Ovis aries: one gene and its partners. Each later gene encodes a partner of the first gene's protein in a complex. Links are inferred from orthologs where the notes say so. Each region holds a gene or a part of one and is shown in the gene's direction. Other genes may lie near its edges.

Region 1 (7,332 bases):
TCCTCCTGGGGAAACCCAGGCCTCCGCCGATTCATTGCTGCCACCTGCTGGGGTGGGGAAAGCCACTCAAGCGAGAGCTGAGCCGTCTGGGCCATTTGAGAGACCTGTATGTAGTTCCAGTGCTAACCAGGGACCCCTAAATAAAAGTTGAGACTGTGAAGCAGTACACCCATCAGTGTAAGGTGGTATTCAGTGGTGTCGGTTAACACACACTCTCCAGCAGCAGTGAGGGTCAGAAACCTAAATAACACTGCAAGGACCCCAAGATCCCAGAGCATTAGAGCCAGAAGAAGTTTTGAGCAGTTGCTGTGGACTTCAGTTCAGTCAGGCTCCAGGGGGCTTGTGAATTGCAGTTTCCCATGCTTGGCGCCAGAGGTTTAATTGACTCGCCCTACAGTGGGGTTCAGTTCACAGGCCCCCATGAAGTTCTGGTGCAGGTAATCTAGCATCACACTTAGAAAGGCACCGCCTTCAACACTATCAAGCCATTCTCCGCCTCTTTAAAAATTAGTGCCTCGTTCCCATGAATTAAAAAATTTACATCCTATTACATCTTCCGTCAGTGGGATGAGTCCCTGTAATGTACCTGTAACTGGTTCTATGAAGCATGCACACAAAAATTCTTGTTTGGCTCATTGGTTGTATAGTGGGGGGGGCGGGGTTCATTTTAAACATGTAACTTTTCTCTCTTCCCCAAGAAGGAAGTACGGTAATCTGTATTGGTTTATAGTGAAATGCTTTTTCACCTTGGGCATTGGCAAGCAAAGATGGGGTTTGGTACTACATTTTTCATAGCCATCATTTTCATGCCTCTAGTGATCATTTGGGTAATACCTGAATTTTCAGGTGCCTGAAATACCATGATCCAGAGTTCTGACCTCCGTCATTTCTCACCCCTATCCTTTGGTGGACCTAAGCCCAGGAAAACTGCAGCCGTCAGGGTTTTTAACATATCTTATTCTACCTTCCTCTGTCTAGGCAACCTTGGCCATGTGATACAAACAATATTAAACATACATAACGACTTGCCTTATTATACAAGAAAAGCAAGTGGCCCAATAGCAAATTTGAGAACTCACCTTAGAACTGAGAATTCTGGGTGTCTGTCATGTGCTTGCTTCATAGAAAAATAACATATGCTCCTGCTTCTAAAATGACTGTTTCCTATCCAAGAATAATCCTGTCTGACTGTGAACTCAGTGATATCACAGAACTCGGGGGCTCATTACACTTGGTATACTTATAAATTAAGTACCAACAAATGTATTTCCTTCTAAACTCTCTTTCCTTCTTTTTTTTTTTTAAGCTCTCAAGGCTGCTGGCATTCAGGACTTCTAAGCCCTGTAATGCAAATAATCATATTTAGTGCAGTTATCATGTATTGTATGCAAATAATCAAAAAGGCAGTTTATTGAAATTCATTATAGAGAAATCTAATGGGGCTTTCGGAATCATAATTTTTGTTACTTGTAAATGTAGTTTGATATATCATTTTATTTTATATTTTTGTTTCCTGCCTTCTTTATCTCATCTGTCAAGGTTATTTTGGTTCTGTTTTTCAGTCATACCTGAAGGACATCTTAAAGGAAATTGGTGTTCAAAATGTTAAAGGGATCCACAAAAACACATGGGAACTGAAGCCAGAATACAGACATTATCAAGTAGAAGAAAAAAGTGATTAAGAAGATTGGAAGCCCGCCTAACAGAACTAAAGGATGATGAGCTGAGCAGACAGCCCTGATGTGTGAATCCTTGAGCACTATCTGTTATAGGGGGGAAATGACTGGTACTTTAATTTCTCTAGGTAAATTTTTTAAACAATAATTCTTGTAAAGTTGCTTAAATGATTTTTGAGGAAAAAGAACACCTTTATATACTTGTATTAAACCAGATTATTCATGATGGGGTGGGGCGTTGAAAGGTTTTTCTTTTTAAATATTAACTTTCAAATGTAAAATTAGGAAATGTTTTCTAAATGAGCACTCCCCATCTTTGCGTGAAGAGTTGAAGTGATATAGATCCAAAGTGATTGGCACAGCAGGAAAAAAAAGTAGGCAACTCCAGAAATTCTGAAAAGGAACTAAAGAAAAGTTCCTTCTTCTGAAATTGTCACAGAGCAAGGCTGTCCTTTTTTTTTTTTTTTTTAAACAGGTGGTTGTGTTTCATATTTGCACATATTAATGAAAGTATAGCATTTGGGTGTGTACTAAGGTAGCAGTTTGTTTTGTTTCTTTTTCGAGATAGCAGTTTTCATCATTAGCTTACTTTACCCTAGTGACAGTGACCTGAGAACTGGAAAAAGTCGTGGGCAGTTGCTGTTTCTTTCCTCTCTTCTTCTTTTAAAATAATTAGAAGTTAAATGCTTTTCCAGTTCGGGATATACATCCCCCATCGTAAGCTTCTCAAAGATGTTTACTGCACACTCAGCAAGCCTATATTGACTAGTTTGTGACAAAGGCTGTTTACCACCTAAAGGAGGGTTGTAGGGGTAAGGTTGATGTGTACAGACAAACAGGTTAATGTCAGCTCCTGGGGAATGAAAGTGTTTCTTTTGTCTTTCTTTTTAATTAGTTTTAAATAAAAACAATACCTGTCCATGGTATTACATAGCACAAAATGTTATATATTCAGTTCAGTTCAATTCAGTTGCTCAGTCGTGTCCGACTCTTTGCGACCCCCTGAATTGCAGCACGCCAGGCCTCCCTGTCCAGCACCAACTCCCGGAGTTCACTCTGACTCACGTCCATCAAGTCCGTGATGCCATCCAGCCATCTCATCCTCTGTCGTCCCCTTCTCCTCCTGCCCCCAATCCTTCCCAGCATCAGAGTCTTTTCCAGTGAGTCAACTCTTCGCATGAGGTGGCCAAAGTACTGGAGTTTCAGCTTCAGCATCATTCCCTCCAAAGAAATCCCAGGGCTGATCTCCTTCAGAATGGACTGGTTGGATCTCCTTGCAGTCCAAGGGACTCTCAAGAGTCTTCTCCAACACCACAGTTCAAAAGCATCAATTCTTTGGTGCTCAGCCTTCTTCACAGTCCAACTCTCACATCCATACATGACCACTGGAAAAACCATCTAAAAGCATATCCATGAATAAGATCACCAAAATGAAAGAAGCTTTAGCAAACTAAACACAATTAAGAATTTATTTTTACTTGTTAATTTTGTCATCTGTTTCAGTACGCTTACAACCAAGAAGCAGCAAATGCCAAAATTTTTTGTTATGTAATTAAAACAAATCCTGGAAATAATCTGTCCACTGAGATAAATATTTTCCTGTATTATTTGATTTTTTAGCAGCAGAATGCTGAAGCTGAGACCAGTGCGTTAGATTTTTTGTCCTGGGATTCCCAGTGAAATAAAACTAAGGAAGGTGGTCCCATCCCCTCTCCCACCTCCAGCTGTCTTATCCTGCCTTACTGTGCTGCAGTAACCAAACATTGTATCTCCATTACCTTCCTTTTTTTTTAGGTGTTTGTTTGTTTGTTTGTTTTTGATGTGGGCCATTTTTAAAGTTTTTATTGAATTTGTTATAGTATAGCTTCTGTTTTATGTTTTGGTTTTTTGACTGCAAGGCATGTGGGATCTTAGGTCCCAAGTGAGGGATCGAACCCACACCCCCCGCATTGGAGATGTAACCACTGGACCACCAGGGCCATCCCTCCACTGTCTTTCAACTCCCAGTTACTTAAGGCTCAGTGTAAGCAAGCCGATGGGTAATGATGTAGCATATCTGTATATAGCCGAGGGTTCTGGGCACCTGGTATTTGCTTTGTACAGAGGATATATCTTCTCCCAAACCTGTCTTTCTGGATGTATGACACTGCTCTGAAACAGACCTGTGTCTCCTCTACCCCAGCCTTTTGTTTTTGCAGTGGCAGCGCCTGCCAGAACTTGCTGCTGGAAGAGTTGCCAGGGCAACTTCGTCTCATCTAAAGCTGTGCTTTGGTTATTTTCTGCCAACTTGGTTCTTAAGCTTGTTTTAGTTACCTTGTACCTTGTCACACTGACAGTATCCTATCTCTTAAATACTTACTATCTATTCGGTAGAATAGGTGGTAGACTGGTGCCATTCCTGATTAATTTTTTGAAATTGCCTTCTTATTTAGTACAAACATGCAGCTGTTGGTCAAGAAGGAGATTCTCTCTTCCACCTGGGCTCCCTTTTTCTTTTATTTCAGGACTCTCTTGCTCTGATAAACACGGTTTTGGCAGCCAAAAATCCTAAACCCTTATAACCGCTGTGAGATGGCGAGAGAGGAAGGCTGATGAGGGGGATATACACCTGGTAAGATGTCCCATCGTAAGACAACAGGAAGGCCATATGTAATCAATGAGATTGTTAAACTCAACCAGTGCACACACCTTGGGGATATTTTAACTGACAGAATGTAGTAAGATTGTGGTTGCTTGGCATTGGAAAGATTTGAAATCACATGTTACCAATAGCATCCAAAGTGATACATCTTTAAAAAGTAAACCAGTTTAGCTCTATGGAATCAGCAGCGGCTCTCCTGGATTTCAGCAGAGGTGCAGTTGTTCCTGATGGTCTGTGATCACATTTTCTTTGAAGCTGTTTTCATCACCATTGGTACATATTAATGAAAATAAGAGGAAACAGTGCCTGGCAATGTATCAAACGCTCTAAAATACTCTCTCATTTAAAGAATTAGTGTGGAGAAGTAGATAATGTCCATTTTATAGAACCATTTCCTGCCCAACATAATATCATGAGTACCAGTCCCTCTTTAGGAGAATTCTGCCCTTTGGGGATAAAGTCAATGCTAGAGTATACCTTCTCAGAAGCCCATGAGTCTCCCCCACCTCCCCTCGTCTTACCCCCAAACCAGGAAAAAGGCGATCAAAGTGGCGACCAGTGGTCTTTGGCATCCCCTGCTTGAATCCAGACACCCAGCCCTTCCTGACCCACAGGACACGGTTACATTTTCTCCTTTAAAGTCAGGCTCCTCTTGCTAACTGTTAATCCCTGTTACACTTCAAGTACCCACGTAGGGTGTGCAGCGTTGCAGTGGACTCCTCGAGCTCCATGCGCGTCCGGGATCAAGTGGGATGTGATGGGAATACACTAGCTATTGCACCAGCTGAAAGGTAGCTGCCTTTGTTCAGACTTCACTTGCTGAAAGCTTGCCTTTCGTCTCAGCGTATTGGCCATTTTCCCTGGCATTTGTGTGATGGTCCAAGAGGTGACAGGCCAAATATCTTTTTGGTTCAGTTTTCACTTTTGACAGTTCAGTGCATGCTTCTAAGCCTAATATCTTTTTCATAGTATGTAAGAGGAGGGATCAGAGATCACTTTGTAACATTACCTTTCTTCTCGTACTCCCATGCTTTCTTCTTCTTACTTCCTTTCCTTTGAGCAGGTGCCACCACTCATTATACAGTAGCACGATGTAACACCCGACAGACTGACGGTATAAGTCTTTGGTGGTTTATCATAGGAAAATTAACAGCGTCTATCTGATTTTGTTGGAAATCGTCTAAATTAAAAAAGGACTTTTTCAATGCTGTAGCTTCCACTTTAAACTGTTTATTGAACTTTTATTGTGTGCCAGACACTCTGCTAGGCATTTGACTCCTGTGACTCGTGTAATCCTCCCAACAGCCCTACAAAATGCAATTCGGGAGACCCAGTTCCATCCCTGGATCGGGAAGATTCCCCGGAGAAGGGCATGGCAACCCACTCCAGTATTTTTGCCTGGAGAATCCCATGGACAGGGAGCCTGGTGGGCTACAGTCAATGGGGTTGCAACAAGTGGGACAAAACTGAGCACTAACGCTTTCACCTTCTTTCAACTCATGTAGTCCTAACAACATGTATGTGTGCGTGGGCTGTTGCTTCAGTCCAAACCAACTTTTAATGAATTATGTGTTAGAGGTTTGCGGTTCCAATCATTTGTCACCACTGCAAATGCTAATCAATAAGGACAGATAGGGAATAAGAAATAAATAGGGTTAAATGACTCCTTTTTTGAGGCCCAATTACTCCTAGTTGGCCTGGAGGGCCTCCCTAAGAGCTGAGGCTGAAGTAGAGCTTTCTCTGTTTATCCTTCTCCTCACTTAGTGATGACTAGCTGCCACTGGTGGGTGTTTGGCCTGGCTTACCGTTTGCAGGGGAAAAATCTGGAGTGGCTGGAAGAAGACATGCAAATGGCCAACAGGTACATGAAAAAATACTCAGCATCACTGCTCATCAGGGAAATGGAAATCAAAACCACAGTGAGCTGTCACCTCACACCTGTTAGAATGGCTGTCCTGAAGAAAGGCAAGAGGTAAGTGTTGGTGAGAATGTGGAGAAAAGGGACCTCTTGTGCACTGTTGGTAGAATATACACTGGTTCAGCCCTTATGGGAAACAATACTGCTGCTGCTGCTGAGTCACTTTAGTCGTGTCCGACTCTGTGCGACCCCATAGACAGCAGCCCACGAGGCTCCCCTGTCCCTGGGATTCTCCAGGCAAGAACACCAGAGTGGGTTGCCATTTCCTTCTCCAATGCATGAAAGTGAAAGTGAAGTCACTCAGTCGTGTCCGACTCTTGACAACCCCATGGACTGCAGCCCACCAGGCTCCTTCACCCATGGGATTTTCCAGGCAAGAGTACTGGAGTGGGATGCCATTGCCTTCTCCAATGAGGTTCCTCAAAAAGTTAAAAATGGAACTACTGTATGATCTAGAAATCCCACTTCTGGGTGTGTATAAACCCAAAGGAAATGAAAACAGGAGTTCAAAGAAATACGCACACTCCCGTGTTTATTGCAACATTATTCCCAACAGCCAAGAGATGGCAACAGCATACGTGCCCATCAGTGGATGAATGGATAGAGAAGAGGTAGTACACGTCGGTTATGCAGTGGGATGTTATTAAGCCATGAGAAGAAGGAAATCCTGCCATTTTCAGCGTGGATGGACCTTGAGAGCATTGTGCTAAATAAGTCAGAGAAAGACACCTGGTGCATGCTGTCACATACGTGTGGAAGGCAGAAAGGCTAACCTCATAAAAGCAGAAAAGTGGTGTTTTCCAGAGGTTAAGGATGGGATAGGAGAGATGTTGCTGAAGGACACAAACTTGGAACTAGTAAATGAGTCCTGAGGAGCACAATGAGTAAAGACAACACTGCTGTATTATTAACAGTAATTACCAAACTTGCTCACAGACTAGGTCTTACTTATACCACAACAGAAGAAGTAATTACGTTATAGAAGAGCTAACTGTACCTCACTGGCAATTATATCAAAAGATATAAATTATCAAACCATGTTGTATTCCTTGACAGTGTTTCTATATCAGATGTATCTCAATTAAAAATAGTAAATT
Region 2 (7,895 bases), on another chromosome or scaffold:
GGCTACAGTCCATATAGCTTCGAAGAGTCGGACACAACTGGGTGACTTCACTTTCACTTTCAGTTAAGAGTGAAGGTGAAAGTTTCTTGGACTTACCTGGTGACTCAGCTGGTAAAGAATCCCCCTGCAACGCTGGAGACTTGGGTTCGATCCCTGGGTTGGGAAGATCCCCTGGAGAAGGGAAAGGCTACTCACTCCAGTATTCTGGCCTGGAGAATTCCATGGACTGTATAGTCCATGGGGTTGCAAAGAATAACTTTTTTTTTTAAGATGTATTTATTTTATTTTTAGCTACACTGGGTCTTTTCTACCCACAGGCTTTCTCTAGTTGAGGCAAGTGGAGGCTATTCTTCATTGCGGTGCACAGGCTTTTCATTGCAGTGGCTTCTCTTGTTGCAGAGCACAGGCTCTAGTGTGTGGACTCAGTAGATGTGGAACATGAGCTTAGTTGCTCTGTGGCATGCGGAATCTTCCTGGGCCAGGGATCGAACCAGTGTCCCTCGCACTGCAAGGCGTATTCTTAACCACTGAACCACCAGGGAAGCCCCAAGAATCACTTTTGAGAGTTTCTTCATTTGGTTACAAGGCACTTGTGTTTATTCCATTTACTGTCTGTTATTTTTTAGTATTTCTATTATATTGTTTATTTTTCTTACTGCTTTTGAGTGATAAGTGCTCTTTGTATTTTGGCTAGTTTATCCACCATTTCTTCCCAGATTATCAGTTCAGTTCAGTTGCTCAGTCATGTCCGACTCTGCGATCCCATGAACTGCAGCACACCAGGCCTCCTTGTCCATCACCAACTCCCAGAGTCCACCCAAACTCATGTTCATTGACTCGGAGATGCCATCTAACCATCTCATCCTCTGTTGTCCCCTTTTTCTCCTGCCCTCAATCTTTTCCAGCCTCAAGGTCTTTTCAAATGAATCGGCTCTTCGTATCAGATGGCCAAAGTATTGGAGTTTCAGCTTCAACATCAGTCCTTCCAATGATCACCCAGGACTGATCTCCTTTAGGATGGACTGGTTGGATCTCCTTGCAGTCCAAGGGACTCTCAAGAGTCTTCTCCAACACCACAGTTCAAAAGCATAATGATGCTACGGCTCTCAGCCTTCTTTATAGTCCAACTCTCACATCCATACATGACTACTGGAAAACCATAGCCTTGACTAGATGGACCTTTGTTGGCAAAGTAATGTCTCTGCTTTTTAATATGCTGTCTAGGTTGGTCATAACTTTCCTTCCAAGGAGTAAGCGTCTTTTAATTTCATGAGTGCAGTCACCATCTGTGGTGATTTTGGAGCCCCCCAAAATAAAAGATTATAATTTGTCCTTTAACCTTATTTAACATCTGTCATAAAGTAGCTTTGCCAGTTTTCTGTCACTCTTTGAGGATTTTAAACATTGTTCAAGAAATAGAGCAACAAAACACGCATGGGCTGGCTACAAAGTGTAACAAAGCTTTAGTCTTACCATTTTGATTCCTGGTCACTTGGAAATGTACTTCAAATCCCAGTTTCAGCACTTTCTAGCTATCTGATCACAATCACAAATTTCTTATTCTCAATGAGTTTCCATTTTCTAGTCTGCAAAGTGGGAATAACAAAACATGAAAGTGAAAGTCGTTCAACGGTGTCCAACTCTTTCTGAACCCATGGACTATACAGTTCATGGAATTCTCCAGGCCAGAATCCTGGACTTGGTAGCCATTCCCTTCTCCAGGGGATCTTCCCAATAAAACTTGCCTTTCAGGAATTTGGGTGACCGTGTAGCTCTGGCTTTTACTGAAGAAGTTCCCTCACCCGGTAATAGTTTCATAAATCAAATCAGTCCAATCAATTTTTTCTTTTAAAAACTGCATTTATTAGGATATTCTAATTAAACAGGAAGCGCTGAAACTCCAATACTTTGGCCACCTGATGCAAAGAACTGACTCACTGGAAAAGACCCTGATACTGGGAAAGATTGAAGGTGGGAGAAGGGGACGACAGAGGATGAGATGGCTGGATGGTATCACCAACTCAATGGACATGAGTTTGAGTAAGCTCCAGGAATTGGTGATGGACAGGGAGGCCTGGCTGCAGTCCATGGGGTCGCAAAGAGTCGGATACGACTGAGCGACTGAACTGAACTGGGGAGGTGAGCGGAAGCATGCAGGACATGAGAACATTTGTGGAGGACTTGGGCTTCCCTGGTGGCTCAGACGGTAAAGAGTCTGCCTGCAGTGCGGGAGACCCAGGTTCCGATTCCTGGGTGGGAAAGATCCCCTAGAGAAGGAAACAACAACCCACTCCAGTATTCTTGCCTGGAAAAATCCCATGGATGGTGGAGCTTGACAGGCCCCACTCCATGGGGTTGCAAAGAGTCAGACACGACTAAGCGACTTCACTTTAGGTACCTAGGAAGGCGCAGTGGATTGAATTAACACCTAATTTGAGAAAATGCTCTGGAAAGTGCATTATTGCAATTTTACGGGAAGCAACTGAGCTCAAGGAACCCAGTTTCCTGCGTCTCTACACGTAAGCGCCTCACCACCAAGCAGTTTCTGCACCTCCGCCAGGAAGCCCTCGGGGTATTTCTACTCCCAGCGTTCCCACTCCAGTTCAGTCAGTTAGACTCGCCGTTAGCCGAGTGGGTGGAAAGGGAGGCGGAACCAAGCAGCCAGACCTCTGGTGCTGCCGGCGCTCTTAAATACAAGCCAGCCTCTCTCCGCTAGGCTTCCTCGCGGTGCCTTTTGGGAGTTGAAGTCAGATGCGCCTCAGCTTGCTCCCGGGTGAGGAAGGACAAGACTCCAGTTCCCAGCATGCCTTGCTGTGGGCGAGTGCAGCGCCGATTCTTATCCTCCCCACTTCTCCACCCCTTCCCTTCTCTTCTGAATCCTCCAATCTGAACTCCAGTCGGTGAAATTCTTCGTCTCTCTCCCATTTTTTCCCTGTCATTTTCCGCCATCCTATTCCTCTTCCAGGGAGGAAGCCTCGTATAAGCGACGGCTTGTGACTCGGAGTGCACGAGAAAGGGGATCGACACGGAGTTACGGTAAGGGTGCAAGGCGAGAAGGGATGGCGAAATATGAGAGAGAGAGTTGAGAGAGAGGCGAGGATTGGGAGGAAAGTAGGGGACAAGTTGGGAGATCGTGCGGTGTAGATCAGGGTGAATGGGGTGAGGGAAGAGGAAAGAAGTGGAACTGGATTTGGGAGACATGGAGGGGAAAAATAGTTACTGCCGTGCTCAGCACGAGGTGGGGCCAAGAAGTAGATGGAAGAACATACGAATTTGGAACTTACAGGCTGATCAGACCAAGAGAGGCAGAAGGGAAAAAGGATTGGGCGCATTAGTGTCTTTGTCACTGCTTAGGTAAAGATGAGACAATTCATTGAAATATCAAGTGTTTTTGCAAATATGGGACAATTGACAATTTTGTTATCTAGAAATTGAGAGAAGACTGGTGTTTAGGTCAGAAGTGAGGTGAGAAGGCAGGAAAAGAGGAGAGGTTGGTCAGGATTGGGAGAAACAAGAGGAGGTGAGTGACATGAAAAAGGAAACCATAGGTGAGTTTTCATGGGGGCCGGTGGATCGGGAATCAGAATTAGAAAGGTGAGGGGTGATGCTGGCATGGCTTGTGGGGGTACACTAACACTTGCATCTCTCAGGTGATGGAGAGCACCCCTTCCAGGGGTGGACTGAATCGAGTACACCTACAATGCAGGAATTTGCAGGAATTCCTAGGAGGCCTGAGCCCTGGTATATTGGATCGATTGTATGGGCACCCTGCCACCTGCCTGGCTGTCTTCAGGTGAGGAACCCCCTTCATGGTAGGGTCCATGGTGGGGAAATGTAATGGGGCCTGCAGATTGAAATAAGTTATTGTGGGTAGAAGCTTAGCCGTGGTGGGCTTGGAGAGTAAAGTGTGTCAGGCAAAGCCATATGGAGGATGTGGCGGCAGCAAGACAGGTAAAAGCGTGGGGGGTGAATGTGAGATGTTTGAGAGGCCATGGATGGCAAGGATGCAGTTCTAAGACAGTTTCTGATGTTAACATTGTCCCTCTGCCCGCTTATAGGGAGCTCCCATCTTTGGCTAAGAACTGGGTGATGCGGATGCTCTTTCTGGAACAGCCTTTGCCACAAGCTGCTGTAGCCCTGTGGGTGAAGAAGGAATTCAGCAAGTGAGTCTCTCCTGCGTTTTTAGCCAGATACAAATTTCTCAACAGCCAGGCTTCCCAAACTGCTGTTCTTGGAACACTTGTAGGAAATATTAATGGGGACACCAACAACTTGTAATTAAACACATTTGGGAAATTCTCATTACTGTAATTTGCCTCTCGGAGAGTTGTGATGTCTGTAACAAGGCTCTGGTAGGTGTTACAGTAAAGAAATTTGCCTTAAGACACTGATCTCACTCTGTGAAATGGTGTTCCGAGGACCACCAGTTTAGAAAAGGCAGAAACTGACACCTTTGTGGGTCTCCTTTCTGTTCCCTAGTTATCTCCCTCACCTCTCTGCTTCTGTTCCAGAGCTCAGGAGGAAAGCACGGGGTTGCTGAGCGGCCTCCGTATCTGGCACACCCAGCTGCTCCCTGGTGGTCTCCAGGGCCTCATCCTCAACCCCATCTTCCGCCAAAACCTCCGCATTGCCCTTCTGGGTGGGTATGTCACTTCCGTCTTTTCCTAAATTAGGTAGGGGACATAGTGATTGAATTGCTGGCCTGGGAGCTCCTGAGGGGCCTCTCTGCAACCTTGCAGGCTCCACTTTTGGAAGCTCCTTTGGGAGTAAGTTGGACCAGATGGAGCTACATGGTGTAGGAAATGTCTCCCACTCATGGTCCCTGGGGATGAGGGTCAACTAAGGGCAGAAGCGTGGGTGGGGAACACAGGTAGGGTTCCTTACTGTTGGCCGTCCTGGCATAGGGGCAAGGCCTGGTCTGATGACACAAGTCAGCTGGGACCAGACAAGCATGCCCGGGACGTCCCCTCACTTGACAAGTACGCCGAGGAGCGATGGGAGGTGAGGACTTGGGCCTCTGTGGGTGTTTCTGCTTGTGTTCCTGCTTCCCACAGCCTTTAAGGCATCCAACTGTGTTCTCTTCCGTTCCTCAGGTGGTCCTGCACTTCATGGTGGGATCCCCCAGTGCAGCCGTCAGCCAGGACTTGGCTCAGCTCCTCAGCCAGGCTGGGCTCATGAAGAGGTGAGGAAGCCGGAGGTACAACAGCTCTGTTTTGCCATGTCCTTGAGTCCCTGCTAAATTGAGTCCACCTTGGGTCAGGATTGGAGAAGGTTGACTGAAAAAGGCGGGCTGAGGGACTTCTCCGGTGGTGCAGTGGCTAAGATTCCACGTTTCCAGTGCAGGGGACCCAGGTTCAATCCCTGGTCAGGGAACTAGATCCCACATGCCGCAACTAAGAGTTTGCATGTCACACAAAGATACTGCTTGCCTCAACAAAGATGGAAGATCCCGCATGCTATGACTAAGACCTGGCATGGCCAAATATTTTTAAAAGGAGAGTAGAGCAGAGTATGGCAAGAGATAAACAAACAACAAAAAAACGTGGGCACACAGGTGGGACGGTGGCCTTTCTCTGCACACCTCTGCCATGAGCCCTGTCTGTCACCAGTGCCGAACCTGGAGAGCCACCCTGCATTACCTCTGCCGGCTTCCAGTTCCTGTTGCTGGACACCCCAGCCCAGCTCTGGTACTTTATGTTGCAGTATCTGCAGACAGCCCAGGTGAGCAGGTCAGGGGTGCCCGCCAGCACTCTCTACTCTTGCCCAGACCCGCTGAGGGACTGCTGCCCGCAGTCTCTGTTCCCTGGTTTTCTCTCATTTCCTCCCTCCCACCTCTCCCCCTTTGTCTCTGCCCATTCCTCCCTAGAGTCGGGGCATGGACCTAGTGGAGATTCTCTCCTTCCTCTTCCAGCTCAGCTTCTCCACTCTGGGCAAGGTAAGTAGGAGGCTTGAGTGGGCAAGATGGGAAGAGAGTAAAGAGATGGGAAGGGGAAATGAGGTAATGGGGCAATACAGTGGAGGATAAGCATGAACAAAGAACAGGAAGAGATGGGAAAAGAGGGAGTGAGTGTATGGGATTGGGAAAGGGAGAATGGGATGTGTTTTGGACCCCAGCTGGCCTCTCCTTTTCCCCAGGATTACTCTGTGGAAGGTATGAGTGATTCTCTGTTGAACTTCCTGCAACATCTGCGTGAGTTTGGGCTTGTTTTCCAGAGGAAGGTATGAGCACCCAGACACATGGCCTCTACCAAAGAGACGGGGTGGGATGGTGCCTTGGCCTTTAAAGGAGAGTGGGGTCTTGGGAGGCAGTCATGAGAAGCAGTTGCCAGGACTGAATACTTATCTCCCTTGAGGGAGAGAAGTTGGGAGCTGAGGTCCTGGGCACCGGGAGGAATCTGATGTTTCAGGAGGAAGACGTAGTGCAGTGAGGCCTGAGAGAGGGCCTGTGGCCTTTCCCTTCTCCTTTTCAGAGGAAATCTCGGCGTTACTACCCCACACGCCTGGCCATCAATCTCTCATCAGGTGTTTCTGGGGCTGGGGGCACCGCACATCAGCCTGGCTTCATTGTTGTGGAAACCAATTACCGACTGTATGCCTACACGGGTGAGGCTGAACAGAGGGCCCCTGGGAGAGCAGGCTGGTGGGGAGGGGAGGAAGAAGGGGAAGGAAGCAGGAGGGACTGCCAGTTTCTAGTCACGTACACTTGTAACTTGGTGGTTTACAGAGCTCTCTGAGGCTTGGGGGAGCCTAGATGTGGGAAGCCTCCTAATCTTCTCTTCCTATCTTCTGGTCAGAGTCGGAGCTGCAGATCGCCCTTATTGCCCTTTTCTCTGAGATGCTCTATCGCTTCCCCAACATGGTGGTGGCACAGGTGACCCGGGAGAGCGTGCAGCAGGCCATTGCCAGTGGCATCACAGCCCAGCAGGTATCCCTGCCTGGGGAAGGTGTGGGTGGAAAGAAAGGCTGCACTTGGGCTGTAGGGTATGGGGTGGTCACCTACCAGAAGGCTAGCATAGGGTCTATTACAGAAGGTGGTGGTGAGTTGTCTACATGTGAACATCAGGTCATGAGAAATCAAGGCTCTCAGTGTGGGGAGAGGTAGACCCTCCTGCAGAAGACTCGTAAGGAGGAGCTATAACTCTGGATTTGTGTCTCAATACCACCACTTCCTAGCTGCACAGTGGTCTAGTTGTTTCTCTTATCTGAGCCTCAGTTTCCTCATCTGGAAAACGGAAATAATGACAGTTCCCCCTTCAGGGCTTCTGATAGATCTCACTTCAGCTATCAGGGCTTCCTTGCTAGCTCAGTTGGTAAAGAATTCACCTGCAATGCAGGAGACCCCAGGGCAATTCCTGGGTTGGGAAGATCCACTGGAGAAGGGATAGGCTATCCACTCCAGTATTCCTGGGCTTCCCTTGTGGTTCAGCTGGTAATGAATCAGCCCTCAGTGTGGGAGACCTGGGTTTGATCCCTGGGTTGGAAAGATGCCCTGGAGAAGGGAAAGGCTACCCACTCCAGTATTCTGGCTTAGAGAATTACATGGACTGAATAGTCTATGGGGTCACAAAGAGTCGGACATGACTGAGCGACTTTCACAAAAGGTTGTTGAACGAAGTCAGTGAAATAGAGGTAAAGCATTTAGTTCAGAGCCTGCCATGCAGTTAGTGCTCAAAAATAATAGTTGCTGTTAATTTAAAGAAAAAAAAAAAAACCTATGGAAAGGGCAAATATGCCAAAGAAGGAGCGGCAGACATCACCAATGGGAGCAACACCTAAGGACAACAGCTAATCTGGGATGTGTTGAATTGATAGGCATATGCCTATGAATTTTTAAACAATCAGTTGATGTTCAGTGACATTAGGAGATAGGTAGCTTTTCTGCTTTCTTTTTTGAG
Region 3 (7,332 bases), on another chromosome or scaffold:
ACTATTCAAAATAATAACTATTCATAAATAAGAACTATAGTTTAGGTGTTTAAAGGGTGGCATTCTAATGAGGTACTGTTCTGATGATTTGGGGAAAAGTAGCTATGGTTCAGCTTCCTGGGAGGATGAAACTTGTCCTTAGTTTTTAAAAGATTTTTAATTGTAAATTGTCCATAAAAACCGTTGTTTACTTTACAGCTAGTGCCTTCCATGTGTCTCTTACATACCAATGGCTGACCCAAATGGTTGTGAGAAATTTCTTTCCTGTTAGCTCACAGTCTCTACTGAAGGAAGTTACCTTCACCATTCTATAAATATTTATTTACTTTTATTTATTTATTTGGCTGTACCAGGTCTTAGTTGTGGCAGGCAGGAATTTTTACTTTGGCCCACGAACTCTTAGTTGTGGCATGTGGGACCTAGTATCCTGATGGGGGATCAAAACTAGCCCCCTGCATTGGGAGCATGGAGTCTTAGCCACTGGACCACCAAGGACGTGTCTGCCTCCATCATTCTTGAAGCTGTACCTTATATACGGGTGATTATTACTCTGTTCTCTGCCATAGAGAACTTCTGATATTGGTAGCGATGGGTGACTGAATCAGGGTGGGACCCAAAGCCAGCCAATCTGTAGGCTGGCCAGCAACCTGTGAGATGATCTCCTGATGTGGAAACGGGAAGCTGATGGTTTGTTGGGCTATGCATGGTGCTCAGAAAGTTGGTGTGAGATGAGGGAGCTAGTTAATAAGCAAAAGGGGCTAGAAGCTAGGTCCAGCTATGCAGCTCTTCTTGTGTGGTGGTAAGCGGAAAGAGTCTTCTTGCAAATAATAAGTTGTTTCTTTTTGAGCCTCTGTCCTTCATTAGGGCTTTCACTGTTTGATTTTTGTGTCTATACCACTAGCTCTGATCTCTCAACCTTGCTCCATTTTTAATGATCAGTCATTTGCTGAGTATTTTCACTTAAATGACTTTGCCTCATATTACCTTTAACATATACAGAATAGGATAATCTTTAACCTAAAATTGAAATTCTTAACATGCTGTATTTTAGTCATTGACATCATCATCTTTTTTCTTATTAAAATTAAAGTTCTTATTTTTCTTTTTTTTTCCATGCTTTTTTTTTGTTATATAAGTTTCAGGTGTACAGCATTATAGTTCAACATCTGAATATACCACAGAGGGATCAACGCCACAGTCTAGTTATCATCCATCATTTGTATCACCTTACATTTTACCCCCATCACCCATTTCACCTATAAAGCTAACCACCTTCTCTCTCTGGTAACCTCTTTTCTGTTCTCTATGTCTGTGAGTTTTTTTTGTTTTGTTTGTCTGTTGTTTTGGGTTTGGGTTTTTTCCCTTTGTTTTTAAGATTCCATGTATGAGTGAAATCATGTGCTATCTGATTTTCTCCTGTTTATTTCTCTTAATAGTCTCATGGCCCATCCCTGTTAATGTTTTTCTCTTTGACTATACATTTTCTTTAGTTTCAAGAAATGTTTCAGAGAGGTTGGATAAAGTTTATAAGGGATATTTATAAGTTAGGGCTTCCTTATAGTTCTTACGTTGTGTTTTAGTAATTCTACCCACAGGTATAAGTCTCATTTCCACAGACTTAACAATAAGTTCGACAAAGAAAGTGTTCCTAGTCTCATCGCCTTTTTAGATACATGATAGTATTTTATATAGTGATGGGTACAGAGTGATTTCTATTTTATGATTAATATTTGTTGAATTTAATGATAGTGAAAATGGGGAAATATGCTAGAAAACATTAGTGAGTTGTAACTGATTGTAAACTCATATTTTCCCAGTTCCTATTTTGATGAGAAAGGTTTGGTGAGACAACAGCTGGATTCTTTTGATGAGTTTATTCAGATGTCTGTTCAAAGAATTGTGGAAGATGCTCCACCTATAGACCTACAAGCTGAAGCTCAGCATGCTAGTGGAGAAGTTGAAGAACCGGTAAGATGGTTATTTTAATAAAGTAACATAAATAAGGGTATTGATTTGAAATTTCAGTCCTTTTCTCACCTGGCTTAAAGGTTAAAAAAGAAAGGTGTACTTTCTGTAGTGTACTTTCAACAGTTTCTATCAGCTCCTGATTTAGTCTTACTAGTGGAGAGATGCATTTTTGCGAGTAATGCAGAACTGTTAATTCCTATTCAGATAGTAGGTATTTAATAGTCAGGAAGAAGAATCTCAAGAGATATGATGAGCTACTGAGAGAAGCAAGCCAGAAATAGTCATATTACTTCAGAAAATCCTCCTTTTGTCTTTCCAAGTATAAGTAATAGAAAGAAAAAGTAGGTGAAGAACCTCTGCCTTGATTATTTGTTGCATGAAATACATTGTTATATCAATATAAGAGGTAAGGGGAAATCACCCAAATATATCAGCTCTTTTAATTTTTCTAAATTAGTTTGTAGTCTTTTTTTTTTTTAAACATGTGCATGTTTTCAGCATTGTTAAAATCATAGCAGGGCTATCATTTTAGAATCTAGTTTTGAGTGATTGTAAAGAAGTGTGTATGTAGTCGAAAACAATGACTGTCCCTAGTTTTTTTTCCTTAATTTATTTATTTTTAATTGGAGGATAATCGCTTTACAATGTTGTTGGTTTCTGCCATACAGCAACATAAATCAGCCATAGGTATACATATTTCCCTCCCTCATGAACTTTCTTCCCACCCCAGTTTTTTTTTTTTAAGTACTATTTATTGCTGCATGGTTTGGGGGAATCTCAATTTCCCCCACCAGGGATCAAACCTAGGCCATGGCAGCAAAAGCCCAGAATCCTAGCCACTGAGCCACCAGGGAATTCCATGTTCCTAGTTTTTGAGTAGAGAGGCAGCTTGATCGGTCTTGAGGGACAGGGAAAACTAAAAACCAAAATGAGGTAGAAAAGAAGTAGAAGTAGACAGAGGGAAAGATTATTATTTCCTGCCAGATCAGTCCCTCTTTTCCGTAGCTTATCTCATAAGTGCTGGTGTATTATTCTCATTTTAGGTGGAGCTACTGCATAGACTTTGCTCTTGAGAACAAAAATAATTGACTCTTCAGGCACTGTGTTGGAAAAATGGGTATAAAATGTCTTTGTTTTTTTTTAATGTATGGCATTTTTTTCTATATGGTCTTTTCAAAACGAGAGACAACAATATAGCATATTCAGAGTTCCAAAATAAATACTATGGAAGGAAGAGATCTCGTAAGCTTTGGTATCAGAGCTTAGTGAAAAAGATGGGAGGGACTTAAGCTGACTGTAAAGGGCATTTGTCTTAGTAGAGAAAAGATATTTAATCATTTCAGCAAGAGATACTTCATGAATTTGGCTTGTGGTTGGAATGGAGGGACCACCGTAGTCAGTGTATTGTTTTTGACTTGATCTCTTTTTGATAGTGGAAGATAAGATGGAACTAGGTTGTCACATGCTTGGATGTCATTGGCTGTCATGGGAAATTGTGGAAAGACTGTCAAAGAATGTATTAAAGTGTTATTTAAAAAGGTTGCTTTGGAAATGGTGTTTACTTGGAATGGTAAGAGACTGGAGTCAGATACAAATTTTGAAATAGCTTAAGTTTCAGATAATAATGTCCTAAACTAAGGTGATAGTGGAAATAAGTAGTTGGATGGCTGGATTCCTTTTGTTTCATTATCAACAGTAGTTCTTTTTGCTCTTTGCCTACTCCAGCTTGGGAAACTTGGGTATTCACAATTTTCCTTTAGTGATCTGCGTAGTTCCATCTTTTCCTTTTCTGAGGTTTGATTTAGAGAGAAATTCCGTATCCATTTAACTCTGGAAAGTTCTCTTGGATCTTGTTTTATTGGGTAGCAGATATTTAATTGAAAATTTTTCTTTCTCTCTTTTTTTTTTTTTAACTGTGAAATAAGCTATAGTCAGCCATGGTTGGAAATTCTCATTTCTTTATGTAGAATAGTAATTAGGATTTTCTGTTGTTGTTTCTTTTTTATTCCTCTTTGCACACAGTATTGAAAGAAGGTGGCTATCATACTGATTCCATACATCTCTTACACAGAAATGCCCCCTCAAGGATTCCCAGTTATCTGCCCATGGGAATTGGCAGTTAGTGAATGGGGCAGAATGCTAAGTTTTGGGAAGGTTTCTTGAGACATTTTTGTGGGAAGTTTTGGGTCAGAAGGAGAGATGAAACCCAGCAATGAACGTTCCATCCTTCATCTTCCTGGGGAAATTCTAATCCCAAAGGTTTTCTGAAGAAAGGCATCTCTTTCAGTGACCTCGGGATGGGTGGTGCCTGGATTAGGTTGGGGCAGAAGAGGACAGTGTTAAGCAGCAGAGTTCACAGACCCAAGGCAGAGAATTGAAATGCCTGTTGGGGAGAGAAGAGAGAAGGGGACTAAGAGAGCCTAGAGGTCCAAGTCCTAAATTCCACCCTGTCTCCAGTTCTGAGCAGAAACTCTTCTTCCCAAGACTCAAGTAGAGTTTTAATTCAGGGACTGTCTTTTCTCTAGGGCACAGAGAGGACAAGTCAGGTGGAGATCTGATGGTAGTGAAGGTGGAGAGTTAAGGTATCAGACACAGAGATGGACATTCCTACAACAAACACAGACCACAGCAGTTTTGAAGCTATGAGCCAGGATCAGGGTAAAAAGAAAATTCAGCTGTGTTGAAATACAGAATTTTATAGACCCTCTTCGATAAAATTTAAATCACTGTTTCCATGCTGTCGCTTCCTATGTTCCCAGTATTTTTTTCAAGACTAGAGGTCTGGGCAGTAAGAAGAAATAGGGGAAAATACTGAGACTTGAAATGCCACTCCCCACCCCCACTTATTCTATACAAAAGAATTCTCTCTCCCTCCCCTTGCTGTTGGGATGAAGGCTGTGTAAAGGCAAAAGGAGGAAAACCCTCAGCACGTTCCTTCTCCTGCTTTGAAGTGTAGTTGCACCACAGGGCACAGAAGCACAGAAGTAGAGGAGAAAATATAGGCTGTAGAAGAGCGTGGGAGCACGATCCAGTCAAAGAAGGAGGGTGCTTCCCCTGCCCTGTGTCCGATGTGCTCAGAGCTTTCCTTCCAGTACTGACAGAGAGGAGTGAGAAGGAAGGGCAAGCGTGTACAGGTTGGGGTGAGCATGGGGCACCTACAGACAAGATGGAGTCTCAATCTCTGTGACCTCAAGATGATCCTGCAAGCATCACTTGGGGGACTGGATGAGAAGTCACCCAGGAGCTCTTCTTGGATTTTTTGAGGAAGTGAAGAGCCGGCTCAACATTGAGCAAACTGAGATCACGGCATCCGGTCCCATCACTTCATGGCAAATAAATGGGGAAACAGTGGAAACAGTGGCTGACTTTATTTTTCTGGGCTCCAAAATCACCGCAGATGGTGACTGCAGCCATGAAATTAAAAGACGTTTACTCCTTGGAAGAAAAGTTATGACCAACCTAGACAGTATATTAAAAAGCAGAGACATTACTTTGCCAACAAAGGTCCATCTAGTCAAGGCTGTGGTTTTTCCAGTGGTCATGTATGGATGTGTGAGTTGGATTATAAAGAAAGCTGAGCGCTGAAGAATTGATGCTTTTGAACTGTGGTGTTGGAGAAGACTCTTGAGGGTCCCTTGGACTGCAAGGAGATCCAACCCATCCATCCTAAAGGTGATCAGTCCTGGGTGTTCATTTATTGAAAGGGCTGATGTTGAAGCTGAAACTCCAATACTTTGGCCACCTCATGCAAAGAGCTGACTCATTGGAAAAGACCCTGATGCTGGGAAAGATTGAGGGCAGGAGGAGAAGGGGACAACGGAGGATGAGATGGTTGGATGGCATCACCGACTCGACGGACATGGGTTTGGGTGGACTCCAGGAGTTGGTGATGGACAGGGAGGCCTGGCATGCTGCAGTTCATAGGGTTGCAAAGAGTTGGACGTGACTGAACTGAACTGACTGAAAAGCCAGGAATGGTGGTCTTCACTGGAGTGACTGCTGGATCTTTTCTTTGGCTGACTGCAGCACCTGATATTTGATCTGCTCCTTACTGCCACCGGGAGTACAACTTTATGGGAATTACTGTCTCGGATCACCCCTGCATCTGTGATTTCTTCCATAGCCGAGAAGAATATTCACCAGTAGAGCTTGCTTTTCTACATTTTCCCTCAGCATCTGTCTTGATTAGTTGAAGAAGCAGTTCAAAACAGCCATGAACTTCAGTTCATTTTTATAGGAGCTGCCAATCATACAGAAATAGAGATTGATACAGCTTTTGTATACTACTTCCAGGCTTTCTAAAAGGGCAGCTTCACTGTCAATCCTAAGGGTCTTGTTGAAAATATTCTTCTCAAAGGCCTTTTGCTTCTTGATGCTGGTATAGGTGTCATTGTATGTGGCAAAAATTTGATCTCCTTCATTGTCCAGAATAAGGATGGCTTTGACCAGTATACAGGAAGAGTTCCAAAATCAGCGCTTCCATTTTGCCCTGCGACTGGTGCTGGCATCTTCTGTTATGTTTAATTGAAGAGTTAGGTTTACTTTTTCCCATGTCCTGTTGATTAGTTTAGAACACCTTTCTAATTGTATGAATGTATCTTTTCTTTGTTTTCTGGTAACTTTGTTAACTTAACCTCAGCTAAGGAGAGGGCACATGAAACAGCTGTACAGATCGTTAATGCAAATCCATTTTAGTTGTTTGACATGAGTTCAGAGCATATGAGGAGAAGGCAGTGGCACCCCACTCCAGTACTCTTGCCTGGAAAATCCCATGGATGAAGGAGCCTGGTAGGCTGCAGTCCATGGGATCTTGAAGAGTCGGACACGACTGAGTGACTTCACTTTCACTTTTCACTTTCATGCATTGGAGAAGGAAGTGGCAACCCACTCCAGTGTTCTTGCCTGGAGAATCCCAGGGACGGGGGAGCCTGGTGTGCTGCTGTCTATGGGGTCACACAGAGTCGGACACGACTGAAGTGACGTAGGAGCAGAGCATATGATATATGCTTAGTCTTTACAGTCTCTTTTTGTCTTCCACCTTAAGAGAGTGATGAAGTATAAAACCTGATGTCTATAGAATATGGACAGTAACTGTGGAGAGTCACCATTTTAATAAAGTGGATTAACTTTGGCATTTTCTAGAGTAGAGGTGTTTCTACTCAAAATGTTAATGTTGACTAAAACTGAATCATTAAATCTTTTATGGAAAAAATTATTTACTTTTTTCCATGGTTTTTTGTTTCATTTTAGCCAAGATATTTGCTGAAGTTTGAGCAGATTTACCTGTCCAAGCCCACCCATTGGGAAAGAGATGGTGCTCCATCACCAATGATGCCAAATGAGGCCAGATTAAGAAATCTCACG

The links.
Region 2: GTF2F2 (region 1) and GTF2H4 share a complex: the UniProt entries of both Homo sapiens proteins name them as parts of the TBP-based Pol II pre-initiation complex. The link is inferred for Ovis aries from reciprocal best matches to the Homo sapiens genes GTF2F2 and GTF2H4.
Region 3: GTF2F2 (region 1) and POLR2B share a complex: the UniProt entries of both Homo sapiens proteins name them as parts of the TBP-based Pol II pre-initiation complex. The link is inferred for Ovis aries from reciprocal best matches to the Homo sapiens genes GTF2F2 and POLR2B.

Annotation. Positions count from the first base shown.
Region 1 is NC_056063.1:15,789,681-15,797,012, forward strand, and holds the end of GTF2F2 (general transcription factor IIF subunit 2), read left to right. Parts: intron 1-1,562; coding exon 1,563-1,682; 3' UTR 1,683-5,529; downstream 5,530-7,332. UniProt on the Homo sapiens protein: TFIIF is a general transcription initiation factor that binds to RNA polymerase II and helps to recruit it to the initiation complex in collaboration with TFIIB.
Region 2 is NC_056073.1:27,277,033-27,284,927, reverse strand, and holds the start of GTF2H4 (general transcription factor IIH subunit 4), read left to right. Parts: upstream 1-2,867; 5' UTR 2,868-3,036; intron 3,037-3,650; 5' UTR 3,651-3,653; coding exon 3,654-3,793; intron 3,794-4,058; coding exon 4,059-4,163; intron 4,164-4,511; coding exon 4,512-4,643; intron 4,644-4,904; coding exon 4,905-5,001; intron 5,002-5,093; coding exon 5,094-5,182; intron 5,183-5,609; coding exon 5,610-5,721; intron 5,722-5,866; coding exon 5,867-5,935; intron 5,936-6,135; coding exon 6,136-6,219; intron 6,220-6,470; coding exon 6,471-6,603; intron 6,604-6,794; coding exon 6,795-6,925; intron 6,926-7,895. UniProt on the Homo sapiens protein: Component of the general transcription and DNA repair factor IIH (TFIIH) core complex, which is involved in general and transcription-coupled nucleotide excision repair (NER) of damaged DNA and, when complexed to CAK, in RNA transcription by RNA polymerase II.
Region 3 is NC_056059.1:73,102,896-73,110,227, forward strand, and holds part of POLR2B (DNA-directed RNA polymerase II subunit RPB2), read left to right. Parts: intron 1-1,817; coding exon 1,818-1,968; intron 1,969-5,680; exon of another isoform or gene 5,681-6,451; intron 6,452-7,218; coding exon 7,219-7,331; intron 7,332-7,332. UniProt on the Homo sapiens protein: Catalytic core component of RNA polymerase II (Pol II), a DNA-dependent RNA polymerase which synthesizes mRNA precursors and many functional non-coding RNAs using the four ribonucleoside triphosphates as substrates.